3 linked regions of the Stegostoma tigrinum genome follow. The protein of the gene in region 1 purifies or fractionates together with the protein of each later gene. This does not show direct contact. Links are inferred from orthologs where the notes say so. Each region holds a gene or a part of one and is shown on either strand. Other genes may lie near its edges. The genes, in order: marchf6, plin2 and sqlea.

What was found.
Region 2: the proteins of marchf6 (region 1) and plin2 purify together in Homo sapiens (affinity purification with western blotting; 3 studies listed by BioGRID). This does not show direct contact. The link is inferred for Stegostoma tigrinum from reciprocal best matches to the Homo sapiens genes MARCHF6 and PLIN2.
Region 3: the proteins of marchf6 (region 1) and sqlea purify together in Homo sapiens (affinity purification with western blotting; 4 studies listed by BioGRID and IntAct, with this or other methods). This does not show direct contact. The link is inferred for Stegostoma tigrinum from reciprocal best matches to the Homo sapiens genes MARCHF6 and SQLE.

What each region holds. Positions count from the first base shown.
Region 1 is NC_081355.1:23,726,969-23,734,673, forward strand, and holds the start of marchf6 (E3 ubiquitin-protein ligase MARCH6), read left to right. Parts: upstream 1-4,610; 5' UTR 4,611-4,820; coding exon 4,821-4,845; intron 4,846-7,705. UniProt on the Homo sapiens protein: Endoplasmic reticulum membrane-associated E3 ubiquitin ligase that plays a critical role in mitigating endoplasmic reticulum stress, the regulation of cholesterol and lipid homeostasis, and ferroptosis.
Region 2 is NC_081356.1:22,689,984-22,697,942, forward strand, and holds the start of plin2 (perilipin-2), read left to right. Parts: upstream 1-4,923; 5' UTR 4,924-5,100; coding exon 5,101-5,145; intron 5,146-5,328; coding exon 5,329-5,524; intron 5,525-7,959. Other genes in the region: uncharacterized protein LOC132207334, read right to left, coding at 1,686-1,739. UniProt on the Homo sapiens protein: Structural component of lipid droplets, which is required for the formation and maintenance of lipid storage droplets.
Region 3 is NC_081358.1:47,559,568-47,567,414, forward strand, and holds the start of sqlea (squalene monooxygenase), read right to left. Parts: upstream 3,057-7,847; 5' UTR 2,869-3,056; intron 2,585-2,868; 5' UTR 2,365-2,584; coding exon 2,089-2,364; intron 1-2,088. UniProt on the Homo sapiens protein: Catalyzes the stereospecific oxidation of squalene to (S)-2,3-epoxysqualene, and is considered to be a rate-limiting enzyme in steroid biosynthesis.

The sequences.
Region 1 (7,705 bases):
TCAGACCCAGGTTGACAGAAAGACATGGACCAGGTTTCTGTACATAACAAAAATTACTATTTATTTTAATAAATATACAATAACTACAGGAATACAGTTACAAATCATCAGCATATAACTTTATTGGTTAAATCGCTAACCTCCTAATGAACTGCCCAGATATACATAGGAAAACAATATGGGTATTTAAGGTACAGGAAGAAAGCAGAATCTGCAGAACAAAAACTGCTGAGATGGTTCTTGTACTGATTAGGATGCTGTTTTTTCAGTTTTCCTTCTCTGATGCTTTAATAGCCTTCAGGAGGCATTGGGTGGCTGGTTCACAGTGTTATAAGAACTTCTATTAGACAAGATGAATTTAAAGATATTGGTATTAGTTCAATAAAATGCCAAAGAAATTAATGAAACTGAAAGTTACTAACTCCCAGGGCACGAATATCAACATCACAGGTTAATTGTAGATTAAAATCTATAAAGTGTGAATGTGAGAAAGTCCTGGTGGATTGAAGGGTTAACAATGTAATATCAATATTTAAAAATGGAGGGAGGGTGAAATCCAAGAAGTACTTACCAGTTATCCTTACATTAATATTACGGAAAATGCTAGATTCTGTTCTAAAGGATTGATCTCAGGCCAATTAAAAGTACCAAAGGAATTATGTAAAGCCAACATGGATTTATGAAAGAGAAGTTGTGTTTTGCAAACCTGCTGGAGTTTTTTGAGAATATAACTAGTGGAAAACATTAGGATGAACCAGTGGATGTGCCGTATTTTGATTTTCATGAAGCTTACCTCCTATGTTCACATCCAAAAACAGAAGTTATTGGAAAAGCTCAGCATGTCTGACAGCATCTATAAAGAAAAAATCAGAGTTAACGTTTCAGGTTCAGTGATCCTTCCTTAGAACGGAGGAAGTTCTGAGGGAGGGTCACGGGGCCTGAAATGTTTACTCTGATTTTTCCTTCACAGATGCTACCAGACCTACTGAGTTTCTCCAACAACTTCTGTTTGTGTACCTGATTTACAGCATCTGGATGTCTTTCAGTTTTCATTATTAAATGGTGAATGATTGGGAAACATTGTCCAAAAACACCTGAGTATTCTTGCGTTTAGTCTTTGAAGCCAAGCATGCAGGGGCAGCAAGCAACTGGGAAGACAAGTGATACATTGGCCTACATTGTCAAAAGGTTTGAGTACAGAAGTAATTCTAGCTACAGTCGTACTGGGCCTTGGTGAAACCACACCTCGAGTATTGTGTGTAGTTCTGCTTTTCTTACTTAAAAAAAAGATAGATTTGCCATAGAGGGAGTGCAGCAAATTTTTATCAGACTGATTCCTACAATGGCAGGTATGAGGATATATTTTCTAATAAGGCTGTTCAGAGATGCTATGACAGGCTTGTGGAGCAGACAGAACTTGAATTCAGGCTGCCTGGCCCAAAGGTAGGGGCTAGTTTCAATGTATGTGGAGATCTTGGGCCGATTGAGCCTGTACTCAATGGAGTCTAAAAGAATGAGTGAATTGCAATGAAACAAAAGAATTGCCAGGCTGGTTAGACTAGACGCAAAGTGTTTCCCCATTGTGTTTTCTCTGTTTGGAGTCAGGGGTTGTGGGGTGGGAATGTCGGGAGGGTGGGAGTAGTCACAGTCTCAGGATACACAGTAGTCCACTTCAGACTGAGATGGAAAGAATTTTCTTCACTCAGAGGCCGTGGAATTCTCTTCAATAGAAAGCTGTGGAAGCCAGGTCCCGGCATATTTTTAAGAAATAAATAGATTTCTAGAGACCAAAAGTGTCATGGAGTCTGGTGGAAGAAGAGCGGGAGTAGGGTATTGAAATAGAGGATAATCAATGATCACATTGAATAGCAGAATGATCTCTCTGGGCTGAATAGCCTGTTCCTGTTCCTATTCTCTAGGTTTCTATGATTATATGCTCAGAACTGAATTAGTTAACGTTGGAGAGTAGTAAGTGACTTAAAGTGTTACAGTTGTATAGAATGGGAACGGACCCTTTGGTCCAACTCATCCATGCCAACTAGGTATCCTAAATTAATCTACTCCTGTTTGTTAGCATTTGGGCCATATCCCTCTAAACCCTTCCTATTCAAACACCCATTCAGATGCCATTTAAATGTTGTAATCGTACCAGCCTCCACCATCTCCTCTGGCAGCTCATTCCATACATGCATCACCTTCTGCCTGAAAAAGTTGCCCCTCAGGTCCCTTTAAAATCTTTCCCCTCACACCTTAAACCTATGCCTTCTAGTTTTGGACTCCCTACCCTGGGAAAAAGACCTCGACTATTCACCCTATCTATGCCCCTCATGATTTTATGATCCTCTATAAAGTCACCCCTCAGCCTTTGACACCCCAGGGAAAACTTCCCCATCCTACTTAGATTCTCCCTCCAGTTCAAACACTTCGACCCTGACAACTTCTTTGTAAATCTTTTCTGAACCCTTTCAAGTTTAACAACTTCCCACCTATAGCAGGGAGACCAGAACTGAACATCATATTTTAAAAATGGGCTAACCAGTATCCTGTACAGCCTCAAAATGACCTCCCAACTCGTGTACTCATTGCACTGATCAATAAAGTCAAGAATACTAAATGCTTTCTTCACTACTCTGTCTACCTGTAACTCCACATGAAAGGAACTATTAACTTACCACCCCCCCCCCCCACCCCCCACCAACCAAGGTCTCTTTGTTTGGCAACACTGCCCAGGACCTTACCATTAAATGTACAAGTCCTGCCATTACTTGTCCTACCAAAACTCAGCACCTCACATTGACCTAAATTAAACTTCATCTGCCACTTCTGGGCCTATTTGCCCATCTGACCAAGGTCCCATTGTACCCTGAAGTAACCTTCTTCACCGTCAGTCACACTACCAATTTTGGTGTCATCTGCAAACTTACTGACCATACCTCGTATATTCACATCCAAATAATTTATATAAGTGACAAAAAGCAGTGGTCCTAGCATCGATCCTTGCAGCATATTGTTAGCTGCAGGGATCCAGTCTGAAAAGCAACTTAAATAGACTGCATGATAACAAAGTGTGGAGCTGGATGAACACAGCAGGCCCAGCAGCATCTCAGGAGCACAAAAGCTGACGTTTCGGATCTAGACCCTTCATCATTAAATAGACTGCACCTAAGCTTTAAATTACAGGAAAACACAGCAACATCAAATTACAGATTTAGATTACTCTAATATACAAACTCCTAGGAATATATAAAATATAGTTGTAAGTCCTAATTATGTCTCAGAAAATCTGTACTGGACACTTTTTACAAAGACTTTACATGAAAGTTCACTATATAATTTATCTTGTAATACTCTGTACCTTATCACCAATTGTTTCAGGAGAACTGAAAAGCCGGCCCTGAGTCCACAATTAATACTTAATCCCATTAAAAAAAATAACAAAGTCATGAATGTCGCCCATTTCGCTGCATGAATATATCACAGAATATGGATGTGCTTCTACGAAACTGTCTAAGGAGATGACACTGCAAAAATGTCCAAATGTAACATAAAAAGCTATGAAGCAACCGGTGTTACGATCTAATTAGCAGATACTGTGCCAATTACTTTGAAACCGGCGAGCAGAACAAACGAAAAATATTGATGCAGTTTAAGGCGCTCAAATATTTTCTCAGATATTATCTAAATTATGTATATTTATTTAACGAGCTCGGGAAGACATAAATTGTTTCCAACAGACTTTTAACTGATCTAAGTTTAAACTGCTGAAGTATTGAAAGTTTCAAAGAAGAGAAAAAAGAAATAATTTGCAATTTGCTGTAGTGAGGCCCTGAGAAGTAAATGAGTAGGAGCTGTAGACGTGGTTTTCTGTTGTTTTATGAATTCAAGATTTGAGTTAATTTGCAGAAATTCTCTGCAGTGCCTCAACTAAGACTCTTCCACTATTACAGATGAAATGGTGAGAAAACGGAAGACAAAAATGGAAAGCCGTTCTTGTTATTTCTTTTAAAGTGTTTCTCAATTCAAAATGAAACTTCATTAGAGCGACCTTACGGACTGATTTCGGTCACAGATTTACTGATGTAAAACACATCCAAGACAAAAAAAATTGTGGCCACCTAAACGCTCATCGTAAAATGCTTAATTTTAAATTTAAAAGATTAATCATCGTGCATCATAAACGCTGAACTTGCGAATTTGATGAACAGTAAGGTTGGAGTGGAAAACAAGGTGCAGGCACCGCTGGGATTCGAACCCAGGATCTCCTGTTTACTAGACAGGCGCTTTAACCAACTAAGCCACGGCGCCACGATAGCCTTTTGACTCCGAGGCTACAAGACACTGGCAGTTCCGTGTAACTACTTGAAATAGAGTAATAGATTAATGATGTGTTTTCATTCCAAGCATTTACTATACTAGTGTTAAGTTTATCGGCCTTTTGCACAGTTTCCATGTGGAAAAGGTGAGTATAATACTGTCTTTCATGTCATAATGTTTCCGAGCGCCCCCCCAGGCTCTCTGACGTGAAAAGAGCAGATTCCAAAGGAGCACGCGCAGATCCGGGCCCGGTACCCATGGAATCCGGTGTAGCAATTGTGCTGTAGTCAGGTGACCAGTCCCTGTCGGGAACTTGCCTGCGATGTCCTTTCATTCACAGAACCTGTCTCACGCACCTTTTCCTGTCGAGCAACGTCCTAGTTGACTTGGTCTCGTTGCGCAGTGTTGGGACTTCCTGATGCCTTGAATCAACATCCCCGAGATTCCTTGCACCTGTTTAAGGAAAAGAAAACACAATATAAAAAATAAAGACATTTTTAAACAAGATGTTGGAAACGCTCAGCTGGTCAGGTATGTGTATGAATTTGGCTTTCTTGCAATCACCATTTTTGATTAGAATCCAAAACATTAGCTTGCCTTTACTGGAGTCCACTGTCATGTCTTCTATTTCTAACGTCGAATAATTGCCGTTGACCTTCATTCATATGTGACGATATTGTGTCTTTAATTCCCAATAATACAGCAAATTGTAAAGAAATAACAGAGATATTGTTTAAAAATAAATGCATCTTTCTTAATATGTAGTTTAAAGAGAAAATTAGCGGTTAATGAGATCACCAACATTAAATACGCATTTGACTTTGCCCAGTTCTAGGAAGGACTCTTCTAAAAACTTAAGGCATTTTTGAATCTCTTCACCTCAATCTCATGATGTCAGCCTATCAGTGTGCTTTATACATCCTAAGGATGGTTTGCTGATAAGCTTCCAAATCAAACATCATTTAGAGTTCTTACGAACTTTTTAGTATCAGTTACAAAACCCCATATCCGTCAGATTTTGCATCAACCTGTAATAATTTGCTCTTCACGTATTCTCTGGGTATTGTGTTTTATTTCCTGTTTAAATGTTTTTAACATGACTTTTGTGTTGCACCATTAGAATTTCTGTTATCTGGCCCTTTCCTCATGTTCTCTACCTGATTGCTTTTTACAATATTTTTATGAAGTGCTTGCTTAGTATCTGGAATATGCTACCTGAGTATAATGTCAAGGCAGATTCAATTGTGACTTTAAATTGGAGAGTAAAATGAGTTGCAAGAGTTAAATATTTGTAAGACTTTTGGGGAAAAGACAGGGACTTGGTCTGGCTGAGTTGCTGTTCCAGGAGTTCCCATTGCAGAATTTTATGCCAAACATCTTCAGCAGAAATATCAATGACATTTCCTCCATCATAGGGTCAGCAAGGGAGATGTTTGTTGATGGTTCCACAACATTGCTTCAATTATTGTTTCACAGATAATGAAGTGAGACGTGGATATCACTTACCACACAATTGCCAAACAGTCATTTCTGGTAAGTTAGAATGTAACCATCTCCCCTTGACATTCATTGCCACCCCCATCAATAATACTGCACCATCCATGCCTTGGGAGTTACCATTAACCAGAGACTGAATTGGACCAATCATGTAAATACTTTAGCTATAAAACAGGTGAGAAGATGGGAATTCAGCAGTGAATAATTAACATCCTGATTCTTCAAAGTCAATCCAACATATACAAGAGATAAATGATAAGTGTAATAAAATACACCTGGTTGAGTGCAGTTGCCACAACACTGAAAAACCTGTACACCACTTGGATCAAATTTGTCCATGTGATTAGTCTATATCGACAGCCTAAAATATTCCCTTCAACACTGGTACACAGCAACAGCAGTGTCTATCATCTACAAGACACATACAAAAACAGTGCCTTCCAAACCCATGGCCTCTCCATCCCAAAGGAATAAAACAATAGATGCATGGGTCAAAATCCTGCATTGTATATACCTAAAAAAAGAGAGTGAATTAGAATTGGAGAATAAATGCTGACATTGCCAGTGTCCACATTACATGACAAAATTTCTAAATGCTTTGAGAATTATGTTTTGTTTTCAGTTACTTCTGTTTTTCACTTCATTTGGTTGTCCTAATATCATTTTGTCCAGCTGTTTGGCAGTGATTTTCAAACTTTTTTGAGTGGTGGATTGCTGTCGAGCTCTGATACACATCATGACACCTGGGTCCAATTCCCCCTATCTCTCTCTCTCCTTTCTATATTCTAACAGCATGCGTCACCATGTGAAGAAAAGGTGTTCTTTCATTCCAGAACATGTTTTATATGTATGGTAAGACCAATGTGTCAGATGTGAAAACACATAAAAACACATGGTATGTTGAAACTGGACATAAAGATATAGGTTATGCCTTGCTATCCCTGGAACCATAGTTGTCCAGTAATCCAGCAACAAATGAAGAAGGGTAATGAACAGATAGAAATACTGTAATCTCTAGCAGTATACAGGGGCTCCCTGGCAGCTTGCGAATGATATCATCCAAATCAGGCTACTTCTCACAGGTTGTTTAATTAAAGAAGGAAGCCTCCACAGTTTCTGATGTGATCTTGGGATCTTCTGGACTAATAATTGCTTAGTAGTATATCATTTAAACATTAACAATTGACATGAAATCAAAACTTTGCATCTTGCACTCATCAGGACTAAAATGCAATGAAATTCCATTTGGAATGTGTATAACAATTTATATAGCATGAGAAGAGGATGCTGACTAGCTGTTAGCATGGGAAAGCTGCATGAAACGTTCACTGTCACGGTTAGTTAATTGGTTAAATTCAACCTAGGTAAGTCAATTCAGATTGGTCAGATTGTAGCCTTAGGGGCACAGGAGGGATCGACTATCACCAAAGCTAACTGTCCCCATTCAAAATTGTGCAATATATGGAACATGTTCATGTGTAGACAAAGAACAATACCCTGTGTATGGAAAAACATATCTTCTGATTCGTGCAAATGAATCACAGAATCTGACTGAAACTTGTTTCCGAGTTAAGATTAATTTTTAGCAGGTGTTAGGACTTTTTATTCATATTGTTATGCATTACATCCAATAGCAGAATCACACCTAATGTTGGACACCATGTTCAGAGTTTTGCAAGCATGGACTGGTTGACCACAGTTGACAGTGCAGCCCACTGCACTGCAAAAGGCCAAGGCACATACAGTTTGATATAATCCACTAGTTTTTGCAAAGGCCTACATGCCTGGCAATGCACTGTCATAAACTCATTCCATATTAATCATTTAGGTGGAACGCAGAATGTCTTTTTGGTTTCCTGTAGGCAGAGAGTACCATTCGTCTGTTTACGGCAAA
Region 2 (7,959 bases), on another chromosome or scaffold:
ATTTAAAAATCAATATTTAAGACAAAAGTAACACTCATTCTTTTATAAAATTTAAAAATGTCCATTGACATAGGTTCTGTGCAACCTGAGTCAGTTGAATCATTAAATTTATTTGCAGCGGTAATTTCCTCGAGGAATGCCTGCTTATTGTTTTGAATGAAGTTACATCATTGATTGTGGCTTTTATTTTTGTTCGAGTGGCCTGACTACACTAATTAAGGCCAAGCATTTAGCTTACGGCATCACCAAGATTTCTTCTACAGATCTTCGGGAAATGAGTTTCAGAATTACCAATATTGCATTCTTTTGCTATGCCTGTAACTGTGATGCTTTGTTTAACCTCAACACTCACAGAGGCACTTGATATCTGCTGTTTGGCTTACAGTCTATGGTGGTGAGTCACTTGCCCCTTTAGCATATCCATACATTAAGAATTGAATAAGTCCAGTTGCTCTACTGTGATATGTCATTGTTCTCGTCTCAGAATCAATCCCTGAGTCTTCCCTGGATTCTAGTTAGCATAATTTTAATAGCTTTCTCTAAAGTAAAATCTTCCATGAACTGTAAGAAATCTGACAAAGGTTCATTAATAATCCAAAAAAAATTCAATATCTACTTATCTCTTATTTCAAAGTCACAGCTTTCATCTAATCTTTAGAGGTTGTTAATGAAATTATCTACCAATTCCTCTGTAAGTGCACTGTCCTGTTAAATCTAGCCTGTTCAAGAGTTTTATGAACTGTCAGATTTAAGTAATTATCAGAGCTTTTAAAACTTTGTCACAAGTATCTGTCTCTGCCTCAATATTATTTCAATTTGTAATGCCAGCTGCATGAATTAACTTGTTTAGCTTCAGAATAACATTTTAATTTTGAAGCAATTCTGTATTTTAAAAGATGTTCTTTCCAAGATATTCTTCTAAGTGTTCTGTTTGGTCCATCTCTTACACTGAATCATTTTGTAAGCGTCTGTTGTCTTCAAACTTGTTTTCTTGCAATAAATCAATGTTGCTTACATTATATTGTCTTAAAGTTGGCTTCACACTTTTAATCTGTGTTAAAGTTACATGAATTGTTTCCAATAAATCTGTAAATACTGTTAAGTAACAACACTGTATTGTGTTATCTCGTTATACTGCTTGCTGAGAATATTCCTGCCTATTTTAATGATCAAAATTGTCATTCCCATCTTCGAGAACATTTTCCTATGTTTAGTAGATAGGTCTTTTTTTCTTTTCTCTTCCTGGGTAAATTGGATGATTTCTTGCTTTTCATGGCCCAAACACAAAGCATGATGTTTTGAAGTAAACTTCTTTGACTGCAGTCTTAACAAGTCTTCACATCGAAATCATTGTTTACATTACAAATGTCCCAATTTCATTAAAGTATTAAAATTCTTCTAACTTTCATCTATCAGACCCTTCAAATTTTTGAAATCTTCCATTGTACCACCATTGTCAAATTCTATGGCCTTTACAATATTACAGCCCAATGTAAATTATTTTTCCTGTTCTTTGTATCTGTGTGACATGGAGCCTGCTCAGGATTTAGCCATGCTCATAGTGAAAGATGAGAACTGTTTTACACTCCTGCCTAATTTCTGTGCAAAGTTTGTAACCATTTCCTTCCTTTCCCTTTGGTATCTCTAAATTTATTGATGGAATCTTCAATTACTCCCTGACCAACCTCCTTCTCTGAAGTTCCATTGTGGGCTAGCTTCTTTTTCTCAGCCCATGCCATTTTGCCTGTGGCCCTTACCAGATTATGAAGTGAGTGTTTTCTTCCAAGAAAACTACATTTGTCCTGCTGCACCTCACATGACTGTTTCTATTGGTCAATTATCACAGTCTGGCTGCTGAATGGCTCAGTGTTTTCCTAAAGCAGTGATGTTCTTGAAGTGGTAAAGTCACTTCTTTGCTCACCAGAAAAATGGAATCTACATTGCTGCTCACTATGTCATAACGGATTCTGGGTACACTACATTGGCAGCTGATGGTTGGTGTTATTCGCTGACACCAATCTTCCTTTCTATATGGACACCAAGGGTCTGTCCAATTATAAAGATTGCAAATGAACCACTAGAGAGTATTAATTAGAAGAGACACATGCCTTGCATTTCAAAATATATTTAATTGCATGATAAAAATAAATACAATTAACATTAAGCACCCTGGCACAATCACAACCATCAGGAGCCAGGTCTGTCGTATCAGACTTCCTCAGGGCCCCACACAAGACTACTGTTTCTCCATCCAAAGACTGTGTCACATTATCAAATTGGGTAGAGCTATGCAACATCAACATTAATGTTTTCAGAACTATTAACTTATACAATAAATGAGACATGATTCATATTCCAACAGCACTTTTACTCTGACAATTTTTCAGTTTGATTTGAAGTATTAATATGTTGTCCCCGTACTTGAGTTCCCACCAGTTACACCAGTGTTGAGTCCCCACTGAAATCTACCTCTGTTTCTGCCAAAGTTCAAGAGATCAGGAATGCGGTGAGGATGGGCCTTTGACAGCTTGTTCAATCAGCAGCAGAAATTCACAGGATTACTAGGGATCCCCTTGAATGGCAACATGGTTTTGTTTTACAGGGGCACTGGATCAGCTGGGTACAACAAATACTTAAATATTCTGGGACAGTTGGTTAGGTGCTCAAGAAAGCATATTTACAAAGAAAACTGACTGATTTTCCTCCATTTGAAACAGAGACTCCCCTCCCCTATCAAGTATAAAACGGCAAGTTGTCAAATGTTTGACATTTGACATACTTACACAAGTTTATTGATGGACAACTTTGTTCACATCCTCAAATACATTGCACCATTTCCAACAAACATTGTGATCGTCAAGTACCTGCCCTATCAAGTATAAAACGGCAAGTTGTCAAATGTTTGACATTTGACATACTTACACAAGTTTATTGATGGACAACTTTGTTCATATCCTCAAATATTTTGCACCATTTCCAACAAACATTGTGATAGTCAAGTACACTAAAAGTTAATCTCTGTACAAAGATTAAAATTGTGCAGTTATTTATTAGCTCACAGTTTTACTTCTGATAGTCTTTTCTAGAACCTAAAAATGTGTAAAAACTGTTATCTGATTTCATTTAATTACATGTACAGTAAATTATGTTTCTTGGTAGCTTTAAAAGCTGTATCCACAACACAATGAATCATTAAGTTTGTAAATGGAACCGTGATGGACCTTAAGATATCATAGCCTCGACTGCTAGGAAATTAGTTTATTCACCAAAATTAGTTTATTCGATAACTCCAACCATTAGCTGTCAATGTAGTGTACCCAGAATCCAACATGACATAGCGAGCAGCAATGTGGATTTCATTTTCATGATGAGGACAAGGGCAGCAGATATATGGGAACACCACGACCTTCAAGTTTCCCTCAAGCCACTCACCACCCTGACTTGGAAATATATCGCTGTTCCTTCACTGTTGCTGGGTCAAAATCCTGGAATTTCCTCCCTAATGGCATTGTGAGTCAAGGCACAGCAGGTGGACTGCAGCTGTTCAAGAAGGCAGTTCACCAGCACCTTCTCAAGTGCAGGTAGGGATGGGCAATAAATGCTGGCTGGCCAGCCAGCGATGTCCACATCCCACAAATGCCTGGGAAAAAAATGTGTATGTCTTCATTTAATGAACACGCTGCTAATGCAGAACATTTCAAACAGCCTTTCCTACATTGTATCAGTAACTACAATTCAATATGACATATTTGGCTCTAAAATATCTTCGGGCAGCAGGTGAGTGCATGGAATGAACTGGCAGAGGAAGTGGTTCAGGCTGGTATAATTACAACATTTAAAAGGCATCTAAGATGGGTATACAAATAGGAAGTGTTTAGAGGGATATGGGCCAAATATTGGCAAACAGAACTAGATTAATTTTGGATATCTGGTTGGCATGGACGAGTTGGACCAAAAGGACTATTTTCCACACTGTATAGCTTTATGACTCAATGATGGACATTGCTTACCTGTTATTGCGCAGGCAGAAATATAAGCACCATCAGAAGTTCCTCATTGAATCCCTACGGTGTGGAAGCAGGCCATTCAGCCCATTAATACCACACCTCTGAAGAACATTCCACTCAGACCCACCCTCTAGACTATCCCTGCAGTCCCCATGCCTACTCTTACGAGTCCCTGGACACTGGCAATTTTGCACGGCTGTAGGAGGTAACTGGAGAACCCGGAGGGGAGCCATGCAGGCATAGCAAAGGCTACACGAGCTTTGTCTCGTTCTTTTAGGTTCATAGACATGAATTTGTCCCTCACCGCCTTACACATCTTTTGGGGGCTGCCAGAAGATAACTTCAACATGGGAAACATTCCGCACTTAAACATTGGCAAAAGTTGTCTGCTGAAAGAGGCAGTGGAAATATAGACGAAAATGAACTCAGCAGCTTTTTTTCCCCCCCAAATGCGCTCCGGATAGACGTGCTGCGGCTGGAATTTGCATGGTCTGACGTCATTGGGTAGGCTTTCCGGGAGGGAGCAAACCCTTTTGAACCGGCGCAAGTGGAGCAGGAGGTGGGTGTAATGGGAGCGGGTCGGGGGCTAATCGGTATAACTGGGTTGGGTGGGGGGAGTGCGTGTGTTGTTTCCGAATAAATACTGGCAGGAAGACGCTTGTTCACTTGCTGTTACGCCCCATGAAACATTGGTAATTTCTGTCCTGATTAAGCCCTGACGTGGCTGCGATTCTCGGTTGTTAATAATTGTGTGAACGGTGAGCTCTGAATCGGGGCGAAGGGATGGGCAAAGCAGCTCGGATTCACGCGAAGCTCTTTTGTTCTGAAACTCGATTTCATTTTTTTTAATGCAGAGCGGAAGCCATGGCCTCAATAGTGGAAGTACCGCAGGTACACTTTTTCTCTCCTGTTCCCGGTTGGAAGTGTGTTTAGACCTGGAAAGCAACTCTGTATTTGCTAATGCTGACTAACCGTAACTGAACCTGCTGATCTAATGTGTTGGTTTTCACTAACGTTCCCTAACTGCTCAGTAGATTCGAACTCGAGTAACGTCTCAATCCGGTTGATCCCTGTCTGCTGACTTCTCTCGGGAATGCCTGGAACTCCCTTCCCTGTGAGGACTTGGGATAGGCTGAAGGTGATCTGAAAGTGTGGGGAAAGAGTGTGATTTTGTTGCTTTTCTTTTCCACGCCACTAACAGAGCTCTCTTTCCCCTTAAGTGACAGGAACTGAACTGGCATGTAAATACAAAGTCTCAAATGCAGATTATTGGTGGGGGAAAAAAAAACTATATTCACTCTAGTTTTTGTTTTTTCGTTAGAACGTGGTTGTTCGGGTGACTAACTTGCCGTTTCTCAGCACTGCCTATGATATGATGACATCTGTGTATGGCAGCACGAAGGAAAATCACCCCTATCTGAAGTCTTTGTGTGAAGTTGCAGAGAAAGGTGTAACTGTCGTTTCATCTGTAGCCATCACCAGTGCTACACCAATACTTCAGAAATTGGAACCACAAAGTAAGAATGTTCTCCTTTGCCCGCTTAGTCTTGATCCTTTTGAAGTCTATTATAATCTCACTAAGATCGATTTCAAGCAGAAGGAATGAAACTATTACTGAATAAACAAGACATATGCAAGCTATAACTTATAATTGCGTATTGCTGTGGGTGTGAGTGATAATGGGAACAGCAGATGCTGGAGAATCCAAGATAATAAAATGTGCGGCTGGATGAACACAGCAGGCCAAGCAGCATCTCAGGAGCACAAAAGCTGACGTTTCGGGCCTAGACCCTTCATCAGAGAGGGGGATGGGGAGAGGGAACTGGAATAAATAGGGAGAGAGGGGGTGGTGGACCGAAGATGGAGAGACAAGAAGATAGGTGGGGAGGGGATAGGTCAGTCCAGGGAATACGGACAGGTCAAGGAGGCGGGATGAGGTGGTAGGTGGGAAATGGAGGTGCAGCTTGACGTGGGAGGAAGGGTTGGGTGAGAGGAAGAACAGGTTAGGGAAGCGGAGACAGGCTGGGCTGGTTTTGGGATGCAGTGGGCGAGGGGAAGAACTGGGCTGGTTTCAGGATGCGGTGGGGGTAGGGGAGATTTTGAAGCTTGTGAAGTCCACATTGATACCATTGGGCTGCAGGGTTCCCAAGCGGAATATGAGTTGCTGTTCTTGCAACCTTCGGGTGGCATCATTGTGGCACTGCCAGAGGCCCATGATGGACATGTCGTCTGAGGAATGGGAGGGGGAGTTAAAATGGTTCGCGACTAGGAGGGGCAGTTGTTTCTTGCGAACCGCGCGAAGGTGTTCTGCAAAGTGGTCCCCAAGCCTCCGCTTGGTTACCCCAATGTAGAGGAAGCCACACCGGGTACAATGGATACAATATACCACATTGGCAGATGTGCAGGTGAACATCTGCTTGATATGGAAGGTCATCTTGGGGCCTGGGATAGGGGTGAGGGAGGAGGTGCGGGGGCAAGTGTAGCACTTCCTGCGGTTGCAGGGGAAGGTGCCGGGTGTGGTGGGGTTGGAGGGGAGTGTGGAGCGGAAAAGGGAGTCAGAGAGAGAGTGGTCTCTCCGGAAGGCAAATAAGGGTCGGGATGGAAAAATGGCTTGGATGGTGGGCTCGGATAGTAGATGGCGGAAGTGTCGGAGGATGATGCATTGTATCTGGAGGTTGGTGGGGTGGTATATGAGAATGAGGGGGATCCTCTGGGGGCGGTTGTGGCGGGGGCGGGGTGTGAGGGATGTGTTGTGGGAGACGCGGTCAACGGCATTCTCGACCACTGCGGGGGGTAAGTTGCGGTCCTTGAAGAATGTGGACATCTGGGATGTGCGGGATTGAAATGCCTCATCCTGGGAGCAGATGCGGCGGAGGCAGAGGAGTTGGGAATAGGGGATGGAATTTTTGCAGGAGGGTGGGTGGGAGGAGGTGTATTCTATGTAGCTGTGGGAGTCGGTGGGCTTGAAATGGACATCATTTCTAGCTGGTTGACTGAGAGGTCCAGGAAGGTGAGGGATGTGTTTGAGATGGCCCAGGTGAACTTGAGGTTGGGGTGGAAGGTGTTGGTGAAGTGGGGTGAGCTGTTTGAGCTCCTCTGGGGAGCAAGAGGTGGCGCCGATACAGTCATCAATGTAACGGAGGAAGAGCTGCGGTTTGGGGCCTGTGTAGGTCTACCTATCTTGTATTCTCTCCATCTTCGGACCGCCTCCCCCTCTCTCCCTATTTATTCCAGTTCCCTCTCCCCATCCCCCTCCCTGATGAAGGGTCTAGGCCCGAAACGTCAGCTTTTGTGCTCCTGAGATGCTGCTTGGCCTGCTGTGTTCATCCAGCTCCACACTTTGTTATCTTGCTGTGGGTGTGGTCAGGTTGTAGTGTTCACTAAATATTTGTATTTGGCATGAGTCAGAAAGTGTCAACAAATGCCATCAGTTTCAGTATCGAACCACTTCTCTACAGGAAGATGCTTTAAGCTCCTGCCCTTTTGCCTATTTGTGGAGTGGCGACTTGATGAATTGCACTTCTATTTTACCTTTCACCTAGTTCAGATGTATAAATAAACCAGGCTAATAAATTGTTAGAGATAGTGGTAGTTGCCGATGCTGGAGAATTTGAGATAACATGGTGTGAAGCTGAATGAACACAGCAGGCCAGGCAGCATGAGAGGAGCAGGAAAATTTACTGAAGAAGGGTCCTGGCCTGAAACGTCTAGCTTTCCTGCTCCTCTGATGCTTCTTGGCTTGCTGTATTCATCCAGCTTCACACCATGTTATCTCAGGCTAATAGATTTCTTGGAATAGCTTGTTGAATGCAGTATGTTTATTCAACTCTGGCACAAAATAAGCCTTTTTTGAGTGTTACCATTTATTCTACAGATTTTAAAAATTGCAGATTTTCAGTTATCAACAATGCTATAGATAGACACTTTTGAGAATCATATGCATGAAATTAAG
Region 3 (7,847 bases), on another chromosome or scaffold:
CACCCCTATCTGAGTTCCCAAGTGTAAGGGATCCCATGATACAAATTTGAAGAAGACAGGGGAGCTCTCCCTAGAGTCCTTAATAATATTCGTCCCTCAACTAACATCTTTAAGATTTATCTGATTGTTATTAGTAATATTTGATCATTTAACTTTTTACTACCTGTACCAGTTTGTTACGCAAAACATGTCAACTTGTTTCTTACATTACAACAGTGGTCTCACTTCAAAAGAGCTTTACTGACTGTACAGTATTTTAGAACATCTTGAAGTCAGGAAAGATGTTATATGAATGCACTTTTTAAAATCAGAGTCAATATTTCAAGAAGTGGATGAGAGAAATTTAGAAAGTGGTTTTCAAGATCAAAACTTAACATTAACAACACAACATATATTTTGAATAGTTTTAAATTCCAGATGTTATAATAAAAGAGCTAGGATTTGTATAGCTCAAGTTAAACACTGCACTGCAGCCTAGCCTTTTCACAGATTTTAGCTAGAATGTGAATAGAAATGCCTCATTGCATACCCTGCTGCTAATTCACATCACCATTTAAGAAGCATTCGGAACTGTGCTCTACTCCATTTTGAATATACTGAAATGAAAACTAAAATGTGTAATTATTACATTTTACACAATGATGTGATTGTATAATTCCCATTAGATGTACAAGGCATAATATGACAAAATGCTTTAGTGATGCCAATCACTCTCAAAAATGATCCTACCAAACAGATTTCAACCCACGAGCGTTATCTAAATTTTAACCTTTTTCAAATAGATCATTCACGTGTCCATTATTTTAAAATCTTAAACATAATCTCCATATTATTGAATATCATTAAAAATCTTTGTTAGCAGTTTTGAATTAGGAAAAGATTCTAACTGCAATCCCTCATCCTTTCAGTGATGGTCCGCTTCTTCGTCCTTACTCATGGGATTATAGTATGGTTGCCATACAGCCCAATGTGGCCCTGCAAGCTTTTTGTAAGAGCAGTTCACCCTGTCCCACACATTCTTTTTTCCATACCCCTGTATGTTAGTTTCTTCAGCTGATCATTTGACCTTCGCCTGAAAATCCTTCTAGCAGCTTTGTCACTGTTAAAAATATCTAAACGCACCTCTTTGATCAACCTTTCTGATGATCCAAAGAATCCTAACCTTCCTGCATGAGCATGTGTTTCCCTTCATTTATTTATTTACGCAGCGCTTCAGGGCAAATTTTATAGCTTTAACAAGAACGAGTTGTTAATCTTTAATCTATTTTGTAATACAATGTTACAATTTCAACATAAATATTCAATTATTGTATCAAATGTTGGATAAAAATGTCTGTTTATCTTGGCAACACTGGCTTGTCCTCACTGTACACCGAACTGTCGATGCAGACATCATCTCAGTTACTATTCAATTGTTGCCTCTGAATGACATTTAATAATTAACAAGGCAGCAGTACATTTGAATTGTTATTTTTGAGTTTATGTGCCAGTTTTGTTATGGATAAAGAAAACCAATATTCTTATCATTAAAAACGTCTTATAGCATAGTCAAGTTTAAACATTTCTATCTTTAGATCTTTAGGTTGACTCAAAATATTTCAAAATATCTAAAGAAATAGTCAAAGCCTCATTCGCCATTTACTATAGTTAATGCGTGGTGAACACGATTTTGCTTAATGATTTCATATTCTAAACGTTTTTTTTTCTATTTTTAAACCGTTCTTCGAATTTTGCCAGTATACTACAATTCTTTCAAGTCATTTCCTTCTTTAAACAAAACAGCCAAAGATTGGATAACGAACTGATTTTACAACTAGTAGAGAAATACTAATGTGGAAATATGCCACCAAATTCATAATTATTGAATCAATAGAAAGTTTCAAAACAGATTTGAAATGTTTTACTGTACCGGCGTTCTGTTCAGCAATTTGTTATTAAATTAGAAACTGCAATTGGTTTGGGCAGATCTTACAGCATATTTAGCAATCGTCAATACATTGTCACAAAAAAAATCCACCATATGAATAATAATAAGGCATGTTTCTTTTTGCTAGTTATAACAATGACCACTGGTCATCCTGTACCTACCTTGCCTTGCTCGGTATTGATCGAGTCTGTGGGCCCGCTGAAGAGGGAGCTTGCCAGAGGCAGGGCTGAGAGAAGCTGGGAGATGAACCCCAGGTTCGAAGCTTGCTTTCTGCCTTTCCCTTGTCCGTATCTGTATCGATAGGACAGGATCAACCCTAGGGAGAAAAAGACCAGGAATGCCCCGAGCACCTCCTTGTTAGCGTAGCTCACGCTTAGTAAGTCATCGCATTTCTTATAGACATAAGTAAACGTCGCAATTCCCAGGAAAGTCCACATTTTTTAATATAGAAGTTCTCTCCTCAAATTTAATTGAACTGCACTAATGTTCCATTAGAGTCCAAACAATTTTTTTTAATCTCAAAGCAACCCTAGAACATAAATACAAAATTAAAGTATGATTTGGTACACTCCTTCACGGAAAGGTTCAAAAGACGTTCACATTGATTTTTCTCTTAATTATCCCGTAAATGATCTTCACTTCATCCTCGGCTGATTGCTGTGGAAGGAAAAGAGAAACGTAATTCAAATAGGCAGAGAAATACAATTTTTCCACAGTCCAACAAATACAATACACCTTTTTTTGTTAAATTCAAGTCGGGGGTTATAATCTCAGATTTATTATTTGATGATTTTTTAAAATAAATCCATACTTCGGTTATCCCTTATAAGATGAATTCAAGAGGCCAATATGATGATAATAAAAAAATTATGGAGCTCAGAAAGCGGCGAGTCGGCCCATCAGTTTTCAGTATCTGACAGTAGAAAAGCATTTTCAGTAACCTTACTGTTATGTTTGCAGCATTTTTTTGTTTTGTTTGTTGTTTTTGTTCCCGGGTAATGACTCTTTGCTTCCCGGAGTGAGGAGATGGCAGTGTGCTAGGAAATAGTCCAAGACAGGACTCCGTTCTGTATCTCCTTGCCTGTCTCTCCTGATGCCTGGCGGTAGCCGGGATGTAACAAGATGTGAATGAAGCTGCGGAGTAACAACGTGGTCCCGCCCCCTCAGTCCTGCTGCCTGTCGAGGCTCTGCACCAATCAAGACCCGGCGTGCCGGTGAGCTGAGCTCACGCTATCCGGGGACTGTCCAATGAGGGCCAGTCCCAGGGAGGGCCCGCCTTCTCCCGTCTCCTAGCATGATGTGATGTCACAAAGAGGGAGCCGCAACAATAGCATCCTTCTGTCACGCGTCAATTCAATCAGGCTCCCCTCTCCATAGCGTTGTGTGACAGTTTGTCCCCAAAGCAACAGCAATCACTGAGTGAGCCATTACACTCCCCTTTTTGAGCCTGCTCTGCCTTTCAATCTCACCTTGCTTCATCTTACTGTGGGCTCAGCTCTTCCACATTCCATGGAGATCGTGAGGACTGTGGATGCTGGATGTCGGAGTCGATAACGTGGAGCCGACCTGTGCAGCAGGTCAGACAGCATCAGAGGAACAGATTCTAATGAAGAGTCCCGAACCGAAAAGCCAACTTTCCTGCCCCTCTGTCGCTGTCTGACCTGCTGTGCTCTTCCTCCACATTCCTGTCTGCCTCCTGTTCCTTCACACCATGCCTCACTCCACCAACCCCATAACCCTTTATCTGTAATAAACATTTGTTTAACTCTTCTGAAGAAGGGTCGAGGCCCGAAAAGTCGGCCTTCCTGTTCCTCTGATGCTGCTTGGCCTGCTGTGTTCATCCAGCTCTACACCTTATCTCAGATTCTCCAGCATCGGCAGTTTCCACTATCTCTGACTTAATAAGGACTGTAAAGTTGAATACTTTATACTTATCTCTATTTTGCCTTTATATTCTATGTTTTGGTTTATTTTTCTGTGTTTTAAGGTGGTGTTTTTTACTGTATTTTGTAGCAATATAAATGTGACAATAAATAAAGTCAAAATAAATGAGTTCCACAGGCTGACAATCCCCTAAGGAGTGGCACAGTAGCTCAGTGATCAGAACTGCACTTGGGTGAGATTCTGTGTGAAGTTTGCATATGGTGTGTTTGGGTCTCCTCCAAGTGTTCCAGTTTCCATCCACAGTCCGAAGATGTGCAGGTTGGGTGGATTGGTCATGCTAAATATCCCCATAGTGTCAAGGGATGGTCACGCCACATGGGTTAACCACGGTAATGTGGGTTATGGGGGTAGGGTGGGGTGCTGGATCTGGCTGGGATGCTCTTCAGAGTGTTGGTACAGACTCAATGTCCTTTTTCCCATGTGGGTATTCTAAATTCCAAAAGAAACTCACCATCGTAAGTGGAAGACCTGATTCTAGGCTCGTCCACAAGGGGAAAGTCCTCACCACATAGACGCATTCAACGCACTAATGAAGTATTCCCCTTTATCAACAAACCCTTGCAATGAAAACAACAAGTGCTTTTGCCACACTTTGAAGTCACGTTCTCTATTCACCCACATAAGTCTACAAGATATCTGACCAGAAGTGAGACATGCAGCCCATCAAGTCTGTTCTGCCATTCTATGAAATAATCAGAGCATTGGGAAACAATCAAAAAGTAATCGTGAGATTACAGACCAACATGTTCCAGTAAAAGCGAAGGGTTGGATACACAGGTGCAGAGAACCCAGATGTCAAGAGATGTATTGGATTGGATTAGAGAGAAAGGAATCTTATGTTAGATACCAAAGGCTCAAAATAGGCCCTTGAGAAGTACAGAAAGTGTAAGTTGTTGCTTAAAACAGAGGAATCAGGGGAGTGAAGAGGCTATTGCAAAAGCATTCATGGGTATCATAAGGAAGGGTGAGAGATGGTGCAGGGGAGATTCATCATGATGTTGTCTGGGCTGGAGTGTTTCAACTGTGAAGAGAGACAAGATAGGCTGAGGTTATTTCCCAGAGAAAGAAAATTGAGGTGGTGGATGTGATTGAAATGCACATAGACAGGACAAATGCTTCATCTTAGTCGGGAGGTCAATCACCAGGGAGCACAGCTTTAAAATAAGGAACAATAGGTTTGGAAGGAATTTGAAGAAAATGTTTTTCACCCGATAGGTAGTAGGTATTTATAAATTCATTGCTGAAAGAATAGAAGAGTCAAAAACTATGAACACATTTACAAATTATTTAGATGAACACTTGAAATGCCACAGCATACAAGACTGTAGGCCAAGCACTCGAAAATGGGATTAGAATAGATGCATTAAAAAAAATCTGGAGAAACTCGGCAGGTCCAGGAGCATCCGTGAAAAGAAAACAGAATTAATGTTTCATTAACAGTTAATCTACCTGAAGAAGCGTCACTAGATATGAAACATTAACTCTGTTTTCTCTATTCTAATCCCATTTTTGACTTGGCCTATAGTCTTATATGCTATGACTCTACCATTGTTTCAGCAATGAATTACAGGTACCTACTATCATAGGGTGAAAAACATTTTCCTCAAATTCCATTTAAACCTCTGGCTCCTTATTTTTGTTTATTTCAGATCTCCAACATCCATTGTACTTTGTTTATTTTAGAAGAGATACGAGTGATGCAGACACATTAGGCCAAACAGCTTCTGTCCCTGCAGTTTGACGCTTTCTCTCTAACTCCCTTACTTCCTGAATATCAACAGGAAGTTAATATTGAGGCCAATGTGTCAGTCACTTGTCCCCGCAATGTGTCAGTCACTTGTCCCCGCAATGTGTGCAATGTAGGAATGCCATCCTCTGCGCTTTAAACAATGCGTGAGCCCCTTACCTCCACACTGTAATTCTTATCCTCCCCTTTGTACTTTTCCACCTTCCCACCACATTTAGTGGGGTGGGTTTTATGACTAGACCATAAATATTCAGCTAACAAAGTGTGGAGCTGGATGAACACAGCAGGCCAAGTAGCATCTTAGGAGCACAAAAGCTGACGTTTTGGGTCTAGACCCTTCATCAGAGAGGGGCATGGGGAGAGGGTTCTGGAATAAATAGGGAGAGAGGGGGAGGCGGACTGAAGATGGAGAGAAGATAGGTGGAGAGGTAGGGAGGGGATAGGTCAGTCCAGGGAGGATGGACATGTCAAGGGGGCGGGATGAGGTTGGTAGGTGGGAAATGGAGGTGTGGCTTGAGGTGGGAAGAGGGGATAGGTGAGAGGAAGAACAGGTTAGGGAGGCGGGGATGAGATGGGCTGGTTTTGGGATGCAGTGGGAGGAGGGGAGATTTTGAAGCTGGTGAAATCCACATTGATACTATTGGTCTGCAGGGTTCCCAAGCAGAATATGAGTTGCTGTTCCTGCAACCTATGAGTGGCATTATTATGGCACTGCAGGAGGCCCAGGATGGACATGTCGTCTAAGGAATGGGAGGGGGAGTTAAAATGGTTCCCAACTGGGCGGTGCAGTTGTTTATTGCGAACCAAGCGTGGGTGTTCTGCAAAGCGGTCCCCAAGCCTCTGCTTGGTTTCCCCAATGTAGAGGTAGCCACACCGGGTACAGCGGATGCAATATACCACATTGGCGGATGTGCAGGTGAACATCTGTTTGATGTGGAAAGTCATCTTGGGGCCTGGGATGGGGGTGAGGGAGGAGGTGTGGGGGCAAGTGTAGCATTTCCTGCGGTTGCAGGGGAAAATGCCAGGTGGAGGTGGTTGAGAACGCCCTCGACTGTGTCACCCGCATTTCCCGCAACTCATCCCTCACATCCCTCCTTTGCAATAACCGGCCAAAGAGAATCCCCCTAGTCCTCACATACCACCCCACCAACCTCCGGGTACAATGCATCATCCTCCGACACTTCCGCCATCTACAATCCGATCCCACTACAAAAGACATTTTTCCACTCCCACCCTTGTCTGCCTTCTGGAGAGACCACTCTCTGTGCGACTCCCTTGTCCGCTCCACACACCCCTCCAACCCCACCACACACGGCACTTTCCCCTGCAACCGCAGGAAGTGTTACACTTGCCCCCACATCTCCTCCCTCACCCCCATCCCAGGCCCCAAGATGACTTTCCATATTAAGCAGATGTTCACCTGCACATCTGCCAATGTGGTATACTGCATCCACTGTACCCATTGTGGCTTCCTCTACATTGGGGAAACCAAGCGGAGGTTTGGGGACCGCTTTGCAGAACACCTACGCTCGGTTCGCAATAAACAACTGCACCTCCCAGTTACAAACCATTGTAACTCCCTCTCCCATTCTATAGACGACATGTCCATCCTGGGCCTCCTGCAGTGCCATAATGATGCCACCCGAAGTTTGCAGGAACAGCAACTCATATTCCGCTTGGGAACCCTGCAGACCAATAGTATCAATGTGGATTTCACCAGCTTCAAAATCTCCCCTCCTCCCACTGCATCTCAAAACCAGCTCGTCCCCGCCTCCCTAACCTGTTCTTCCTCTCACCTGTCCCCTCCTCCCACCTCAAGCCGCACCTCCATTTTCTACCTACTAACCTCATCCCTCCCCCTTGACCTGTCTGTCCTCCACAGACTGACCTATCCCCTCCCAACCTCCCCACCCATACTCTCCTCTCCACCTATCTTCTCCTCTATCCATCTACGGTCCGCCTCCCCCTCTCTCCCTATTTATTTCAGAATCCTCTCCCCATCCCCCTTTTCTGATGAAGGGTCAAGGCTCAAAACGTCAGCTTTTGTGCTTCTAAGATGCTGCTTGGCCTGCTGTGTCCCTTCTGTTCTTATCCTGTTCATAAGTGGGAACTGATTCTCCATACCCACACTGTCCAGACAACTCATCATTTTGAAAACTTGTATCAGATTTCCTCTTTGCCTTCTCGTGTCTGTGAAAACAGTCCCAATTTCTCTAAACTTTCCTCATA